Linked DNA regions of Macaca mulatta. The protein of the gene in region 2 interacts with the protein of the main gene of each other region in a biochemical or structural test. Links are inferred from orthologs where the notes say so. Each region holds a gene or a part of one and is shown on either strand. Other genes may lie near its edges.

Region 1 (4,410 bases), on a different chromosome or scaffold from region 2:
CGGCTACTTTTTTGTATTTTTAGTAGAGATGGGATTTCACCGCGTTAGCCAGGATGGTCTCGATCTCCTGACCTCGTGATCCGACCGCCTCGGCCTCCCAAAGTGCTGAGATTACAGGCGTGAGCCACCGCGCCCGGCCTTTTTCTTTTTTTGAGAGGCTTCTCGCTCTGTCGTCCATGCTGGAGTGCAGTGGGACGATCACCGCTTACTGCAGCCTCAAACTCCTGGCCTCCCAAAGCACTGGGATCACAGGTGGCAGCCACAGCCCCGGCCTGTTTTTTCAGTGTTGAGAGTCCTGGCCCCTAGATAGGAACAAGCATCCTCACTGTTCTAAAGCATCCTCACTGTTCTAAACCCCCCGGGCTGGCCCGGACAACTCCTAAAGCGGCCGAGGGCGGACCCTGAGGAGGCCGGCGCGCGCTTCGGGGCATAGCTTGTGGCGGTGAAGCCGCTCAGGTGGCGGAGGCCTTGGGTATCTGTAAGCAGGTCGCTAGGCCGCAGACCTCGGAACTCGTCTTGGGTCACTTTTATTTATTTATTTATTTTTGAGATGGAGTCTTGCTCTGTCGCCCAGGCTTGAGTGCAAAGGCGCGATCTCGGCTCACTGCAACCTCCGCCTCCCAGATTCAAGCAATTCTCTGCCTCAGCCTCCCAAGTAGCTGGGATTACAGGCGCCCGCCACCACGCCCGGCTAATTTTTGTATTTTTAGTAGAAATGGGGTTTCACCATCTTGGCCAGGCTGGTCTTGAACTCCTGACCTCGTGATCCACGCGCCTAGGCCTCCCAAAGTTCTGGGATTTCAGCCACCGCGCCCGGCCCGGGTCACTTTTCGAGTATACAGTGTCTCCTCTCTCCTTCCTCCGTCGGCCCCCGCTGCCCCGACTCGGAGGCCGCAGATCAGGTTGAGAGCGCTACCATGGTTTCCCGCGCTCGCCTCGGGGCCTATTGCGCCTGCGCGAGTTGTGACGGCGGGACCCAGAGATACCCGCCCCAAGTACAGGATTGCGCCCTCTGCCGTCGCCTAACGGAACTCCGGGCGCTCGTGCGCACGCACCCCAAGCCCCGCCCCCCAGGCTGCCGGCGCGCGAGCCGTTGGCGACGCTCCCTGCCTTCCCTCTCCTGTAGTGGGGCGGGGCCGGGGCGCCCGAGTAGGGGGTGGAAGGCGGGGGCCACATAATGCCACGCCCCCGCCTCGTCCCCATTTGAAGCCCCACGACTCTTCACTGCTGGTCAATCAGAGCCCGTCCTCTCCCTAGTGCCGGCCAATGGGAGGTGCGCTCGGGCTGCTTCCGGCTCCGCGCTCCATTCGCCCCCTCCCCAGGTCTCCCCGCGACTGGCGGGACGCAGGGGCGGGCGTCGGCCGCGGTGACGCGCAGCGGGCCTGGAGCCAATAAGGGGCGGGCTCGGCGCTGATGGACGGTGCTGGTGGCCAGTGGAGAGGCGCTGGCCGCACTTCCCGTCGGGGAGAGAGTGTAATATGGCGAAGACCTACGATTACCTGTTCAAGCTGCTGCTGATCGGGGACTCGGGGGTGGGGAAGACCTGTGTCCTGTTCCGCTTCTCCGAGGACGCCTTCAACTCCACTTTTATCTCCACCATAGGTAGCGGGACCGGGGAGTGGCTGGGGGCGCCAGAGGCCCGGGCTGGGCGCGCCCCTGAGGGGCTGGGGCTGAGGGATCTACCGGGCTGGACTGGCCGAGGGCGCTGAGAGGGTCGAGGGGGCCTAAGGGGAGAAGAGCAGTCGCCTGTACCGCCGTTCGGAGGTTCCTGGGCCGTGGTGGGGGAGACCAGGTGCCCATTTTGCAGATGGGGAGACTGAGGCTCCGACCCTCAGCCCGCTCGTTAGGGAGTGTTATGTCCTGGGCTGGGGTCTTCGCGCCCGTCCTCTCGATCTGTCCTAGCAGCAGCCCTCAAAGCGGTTCTTTTGAGGCTCCTGCCTTACAGAAGTGGAAACTGAGTCATGGGGAATTGGCCATGGGAAAAAGACGGTGACATCTCACCTTAATGAGCATTTACTATGTGCCAAGTGCTTCCCGTGCATTTTCACACTCTCCAGTTCTCGGTGTTAAGTGCTGTTTTGAGCCCGTCTCACAGATGAGGAATTTGAGGCTCAGGGTGGGCCTGGAACTTGCCCAAGGCCACACAGTCTGCAGGTGGTGAGAATGGGATTTGATGGAATTTGAACCTGGCTGTGTCTCAACCCAAAACTCGAGGCTTAGCTATCCTAGAGAGATGCCACCTCACACTCCCAGCTGATGACAAGCTCAGCTAATGCACCTTGGAGCCGGAACTGTAACCCACACCATTCCTGCTCTTTTCTCTGGAGTATTCAGAAGTTGAACCCCTCTCCCTGACCATTCTTCCCCTCATAAGTGTATTTTCCTCTAGAAGGAATGATAAGAGGAGTCAGGACCTTTTCCCTGCCCACATTTCATCCTGCTCCAGGATGACAGTAATGACAAGTGACAGCACTGCCTGCCCTGGAACCTGTCATCTGCAAGAAGATGCAAGATAAAAGCCTCAGCGAGCAACTAAATCAGCCACTGCCACAGACAGCCTTGACTTCCCTATCAAAGGGCCCAAGACTCCGGTTGTCACTTTAGAACAGCTTTTCCCGTAGGGCCAGCCCACATTGTGGTTGAACAGAATTGGCTTGGTGCATCTCAGTTGTGCCGTCTGCAGAAGTGGAACTGACCTCTCTCAGTGCCACAAAAGCAGTCCTGGCCCACAATGAAAAGGTTAGACCGGGGAGTAACACCAGTCTGAGTGGCCTGGGAGCTCTGTAGCCCTGCTAGGGATGGGGAAAATGGGGGAACGGTCACTAAGGAGTTTATTCCAAGTCACGAAAACGTAGGGAATGGCCTTTGCTTTACTGTGTCACTTCAACAGAATCATGTTTTCTCCCTGAACCCCACGATAATGTGCTGATTCCATTCTTGCCCCCCTCCAGGAGCTGTGCTTTTTTTATTTTATTTTATTTTATTCTATTTTATTTTATTTTATTTTTTGAGATGGAGTCTAGCTGTTTTGCCCAGGCTGGAATCCAGTGGTGCTATCTCGGGTCACTGCAACCTCCGCCTCTCGGGTTCAAGCAATTCTCCTGCCTCAGCCTCTCTAGTAGCTGGGACTATAGGCACCCGCCACCACGTCCAGCTAATTTTTGTATTTTTAGTAAATATGAGTTTCACTATGTTGGTCAGGCTGGTCTCAAACTCATGACCTTGTGATCCACCTACCTTGGCCTCCCGAAGTGCTGGGATTACAAGCATAAGCCACTGCACCCAGGATAGCTGTGCTTTATAAAACAGTTATATGCCTGATGTAAAGTAGAGAGAACTGACTGGAAATCGTTACGTCTGGTTTCCAATTGCTGTTTGCCCTTGAACATACACTGCCCCTCTCTGAGCCCTGCTGTCTTTAGAGCAGGAGTGACGCTGTCTCCTGGGCTAGTGCCCTGGTGGTTGAGGATTAGAATTAGACAATAAGGGGTTATCACCGTAACCAGAGGCCATCTCGAAGAAGCAAATGAATGAATGGCTCCTGCAGTGACAGCATCCAGCCTCTGAAGACAGATGGTTCTGAATTCTTCCCCCTCCCCAACTCCAAGGCCAAACTTTAGGGTAACTCTTGTGCCCCAGCCGATCAAGAAGTGGCGTTAATTCAGCCTGGGCAACATAGCAAAACCCCATCTCTATAAAAAATAAAATAAAATTAGCCGGGCATACTGGCTTACCCGTATAGACCCAGCCACTTGGGAGGCCGAGATGGGAGGATTGATTGAGCCCAGGAGGTCAAGGTGCAGTGAGCTGTGATGGCGCCACTGCACTCCAGCCTGGGCAACAGAGCGAGACCCTATCTTAAAAGAAAGAAAGAAAGAAATTATGTTAACTGTGGGCAGACTGTGGCTTGCCTTCACTCAGATCCCAGTTTCCCGGCCTCAGCACCTTCCCCACAAACCCCCCCTCTTTTTTTTTTGAGATGGAGTCTCGCTCTGTCACCCAGTCTGGAGTGCAGTGGCATAATCTCGGCTCGCTACAACCTCCGCCTCTCAGGTTCCAGCAATTCTCCTGTTTCAGCCTCCTGAGTACCTGGGATTACAAGTGCCCACCACCATGCCCAGCTAATTTTTGTATTTTTTTTTTTTTTTTTTTTTTTAGTAGAGACAGGGTTTCACCACGTTGGCCAGGCTGGTCTCGAACTCCTGACCTCATGATCCGCCCACCTTGGCCTCCCAAAGTGCTGGCATTACAAGCATGAGCCACTGCGCCCAGCCCAGACCCCCCCTCTTTAGAGTTACTTTGAGCTTTAAAGAGGCTGTCTTCCATTTGCAGATGAAGATGTGACTTGGTGAAAGTTACCTAGCAAGGTGAAGGTGGCACCTGACCCCAGGATCCCTCCCTCTCACCCCT
Region 2 (4,309 bases):
AGCTGAATTTTGGGCCTGGGGCAAACTTACACCTGTAGGGTGACAAACTGGGTAGGCTTAGTTTCAGGTCCAGGAGTGCCTAACTCCAAGACTGCCAAATTCCTAGAGTGGTAATGCCATTCATTCATTAACAAATATTAGTATGCATCTATGATGTACCAAGGACTGTTCTGGGTCCAAAAGTCTACCGGTGAATACAACAGACAGCAATCCCTGCCCACAGGGTGTTTATGTTATGGTGGGTGAGGGAGTGGCAGGGCAGACAATAAGCGAGAAAAATGTAATAAGGTAGGGAAAGGGCATATGGAACGTTCAGAGAAGGGATTACACGTTTAAATAGGGTGATCAGGGCAAACTTGTAGCCGTGGTATTTCAAGCGCCTCAGGAAGGTGTCTTCTGTACTCTCAACCCCACCATCACTACACCTCAGCACCTTGAAGGAATGGCATGGTACATCCGGTTACTGGCACAAATATTTGCCAATATCTTATATTTAAGACAAAGGGAGCTCCAAGATCCAGACCTTGCCCTTAGAGAACTTACAGCCTTCCAGGTGGAAAAACAACTAAGCAGTGTTAAGGGCTGTACTGAGGTGTAAACAAAGTGCTTTAGGACACAGGATAACTGGCAATTCTGCTTGGGGGAAGAAGTATGTGTTCAGTAAGGCCGTTCCAAAGAAGGTGACTTTAGAACTCAATCTTGAGGGATGGATAGGAATTAATGTCAGGGGAATGGGCATGGGGGAGGAAAGTTAGCTTTTTAGGAAGAAAAAAAGGAACAGTTTGAGCAAGGTCCCAGAGCTGGGAATAGGGAGGACATTTTCTTCCTATCCCTGCCTGTGGTACTCCATCCATCCCATGACAAAACTAGCACACGATCACCCTCAAGCTCTCTGGTATGGCTGTCAGGAAATCCCTATCACTTATTTCTCCCCTAGCCAGCAGGAGAGGAAGAAATTGAGTCAGGCGCACATCCCTGGAATCCAGGGTTACCCTCCTCTAACTTCAAGACAATTACCACAGAGCTGAGAACCCGGGAGATTTCACTCATCTAGGTACACTCAGGGATGTGTACTTATAGTGGTAATGTGGCAACTGGCCCATGTCAGAAATGAAGTGGGTAAGACATCAGTAAGGTAAGTAGTCCATAGTCTCGGCAGTGAATCTAAGGGGGAATCAAGGAGCAAAACATATACTTGGAAGGAAATTTTTTAATCACTTAGTCCTCATTCATGAGCTATTCAGTGCTCCCAACATCCAAGACAATAGAGGTGGTGTGACAGGATAGGAACACAAGCTCTGCCTCCGAGATTGTGAGGGCAAGGCACTTACCCTCTAAGTCTCTTTTTCATCATAATATGGTTATAACTGTAGCACCTATTGTATAGAGTTACTGGGAGGATTGCATTTTTATGTAAAGAACTTATCACAGTGTCTGGCTCAATGGAGCCTAACAACCAGAGCCTAACAAGCTCAGAGAGCCGGAATGCTACATATACTCACAGATCAGTTACCCCAGAACAGGCCTCCGAGCTCCATTTCACTGCTCTGACCAAGAGTGAGACACCTGAAATCGTGTTAGCAGAAATGTTCATCCCCTGCCCAGACAGAGCCTCACAAGCCAAGTTGGTGTGCTTTTCTACTAGGGTGCTAAAAACCAAACCACCAAAAATGCGGAAAACTTCATCAAGGCCACATCTCTGCATTGAGCATTGTTCCCACAGCGACAAAAGTCTTAAGTCATTAATACCGCAATATTAATAGATTTATGAGAGGTGGGGGTGGGGAGCTTAAAGAGCAGAAAAGAAGCCAGTTAAATATAGGAGGTCCAGGATGTACAGAAGACTCATTTTTTGCCACAAATATACAAGGTCTAGGGTCAACCCTGCCAAGAGCAGTACTCTGGAATTTTACGTCCTCTAGTCCTGAAGAAGAAGGGTACTGGGGGAAGAAAAGCTTGGTTAATTAGAAACTCACCACTTTTCAAGCCACCAGAATTCTAACCAAATGATTTCACCACCCCAAATCCCATCTCAATGTTAAGGGTTGGAGGAACACCTTTTTCTGCCCCATTACAAACCATCACAGGAGACAGAAGCATTCTGTGCCCCTTCTGAGATCTCGGGGACCCTCCTCCAGTACCAGGTCTCTCACAGCCTGCTTGAAGAGCGGCAAGATAAACAGCTCCACAGCACGTAGCCAGGTCCCCAGCCCCAAGCGCAGAGGGAGCCCACTGAGGCAGGACTCCGGCCGACCAGCCTCCAGCCTTTACCTGTGGCTGACTGGCCAACGCCAGAGAAGCCGACGCCGAGATGTCGGAGGTCCGAAGAGAGTGCGGGTTAGCGACCCCGCTCGACGGCCAAGCGCTGCGAGAGAAACCCACGAAAAGGTGACTGCACGCCTTGGAGGGCGCAGTTCCCGCTAGGAGCTCGGCCCCGCCCCCGCCCCCAGGGCCAGCTCTCGGGAGGGGCACCAGCTCGGGCTGGCGGGAAAAGCCCGGGCACTCCGCGCGAGGGGAGCCGGAGAGGAGAGGGGAGGCGGCTCCCAGAGGGGCACAGCCCGCATTAGTGCTAGGTGGGTCAGGGAAGGGGCCAGAAGAAGCCCTAGAGAAAGAAAAGTGGCCGGGAGGGACCGCCCAAGCAGACGGGAGTCCAAGCCTGGGGGGTGCGGTCGGGAGAGGCGGACGGGGAGAGGGAAGACGAGGTCAGCTAGGGAGAAGGAAAAACTAGGGGAGCAGAGAGCAGGTAGGGAAGACGCACGACCCCGATATGGGGGTGGGGGCGCTTCAGCAGCGAAAAGGAGCTGGGGGTCCAGAAGGAGCCCCCAACCGAGGGCGAGGGGGCGGCCGCTGGCTGCTGACCTACCTGTCACCTGCAACAGGTGCCTCCAGAGAGCTAGACGTCCCAGTGCCGGTTTCGAGGGAGGGTCTCTGGCTCCGGGAAGATCGCCACCCAGCTCCGGCGGCCGGCCCTTCTCACCCTCCCGGGAGGCGGAAAAAGCTGCAACTTTCCCTGGAGCTGGGAGGAGCTGGACTCTTAAAGGGGCCGCACAGCGCCCCGGGCTCCTTAGTAGGGGGCCGCTCAGCCCGAAAGGGAGCTCTGGGACCCAAAGCCTTGAGACACAAGAGGAATGAATGTCCTTCCAGGTTAGGAGTGGGAGCCTAGGGACCGAGGATAGGGGTCTAACACTAGACGTGCCTCCCCACCCCCTTACTTCCATCTGTTGGTCGTTCCCTTAGATGGTGAAATCACCTGCCCCTTTCATTCTGCTGAGTCAAAAGTTGTCAAATTGTCTCACACTTCTAAGGAGATAAAAGAATATGAACTATCTAATTTGGGTAAGTAAAATATGATACCATTCTGATCCTTTAACTTATGGCCTTTTATGGCAAATTGTCTGTCTAAAATAGAAACGTTTTGGGCAAAGGAGTAGACTAAATTCACACATACACACTCAAGAACACAACTGGTTAAAATATTCAACTCACTAGTAATCAAAGAAAAGCAAATTAGAACAATAATGAGATTATTTGGCAAAGAGTTTTGTTTTTTATTTTTTAAATAACACTTAATGATGACAAAGTAGCCACCAAACAAGCTCTCATAATTGCTGATAGGAGCATATGTTGGTTAAAAACCCTTTTAGAAAGCATGTGAGCAGTATATATCAATAGACTTTAAAATGTTTATACCTCCCCAGTAATTGCAGATTCCCCTCCCTCTCTTTCCCATCCCTCTCCCCCTCATTTCACATCAGCAATTAAACATGCTCAAGTATCTACCATCTTAAAACAATATCCTCCCTACACAGGAGGTCCCTCTTCAGGTCCTCTTTATGGGCAAATGTATTGAAAACATACTTTACAGGTGAAATTGCAATTTTTATTCCCTTACGTCTCATTCATTTCTCAGCTCTCAGCAGTCTGGCTTCCTTCCCCCACTGAAACTTCTCAATGAGATAAAAAACCAATGACCCTCAGTGTCGATAAATCCACAAATAAGTAAGGTATTTTTGGTCCTTATTTTGCTTGACTTCTCCCCTACATTTAACACTGTTAACCATTTCCTCCTCCTTGAAATGTTCTATGGCATCTATGACATTATACTCTTGCTTTTCCTCCTACTCCTTTGCCCTCTCCTCAGTGACCTTTGTAGGCCACTCTTCTGCTATCTGACCTCTGAAAGTCAGACATTCTCAGGGCTAGGATACATATACTCCCTCCCCCAAATAATCTTTTTCACTCACTTGGCTTTAATTATCGTATATATGGTCACAACTCTAATTCTATAACTCTACCCAGACCGCTTTAT

What was found.
Region 1: the proteins of SYTL4 (region 2) and RAB8A form a complex in vitro, tested with the Homo sapiens proteins (2 studies listed by BioGRID). The link is inferred for Macaca mulatta from reciprocal best matches to the Homo sapiens genes SYTL4 and RAB8A.

Annotation. Positions count from the first base shown.
Region 1 is NC_133424.1:16,585,378-16,589,787, forward strand, and holds the start of RAB8A (ras-related protein Rab-8A), read left to right. Parts: upstream 1-1,465; 5' UTR 1,466-1,478; coding exon 1,479-1,602; intron 1,603-1,952; exon of another isoform or gene 1,953-2,544; intron 2,545-4,410. UniProt on the Homo sapiens protein: The small GTPases Rab are key regulators of intracellular membrane trafficking, from the formation of transport vesicles to their fusion with membranes.
Region 2 is NC_133426.1:107,583,110-107,587,418, forward strand, and holds the start of SYTL4 (synaptotagmin-like protein 4), read right to left. Parts: upstream 2,981-4,309; 5' UTR 2,864-2,980; intron 2,366-2,863; exon of another isoform or gene 2,272-2,365; intron 1-2,271. UniProt on the Homo sapiens protein: Modulates exocytosis of dense-core granules and secretion of hormones in the pancreas and the pituitary. Interacts with vesicles containing negatively charged phospholipids in a Ca(2+)-independent manner.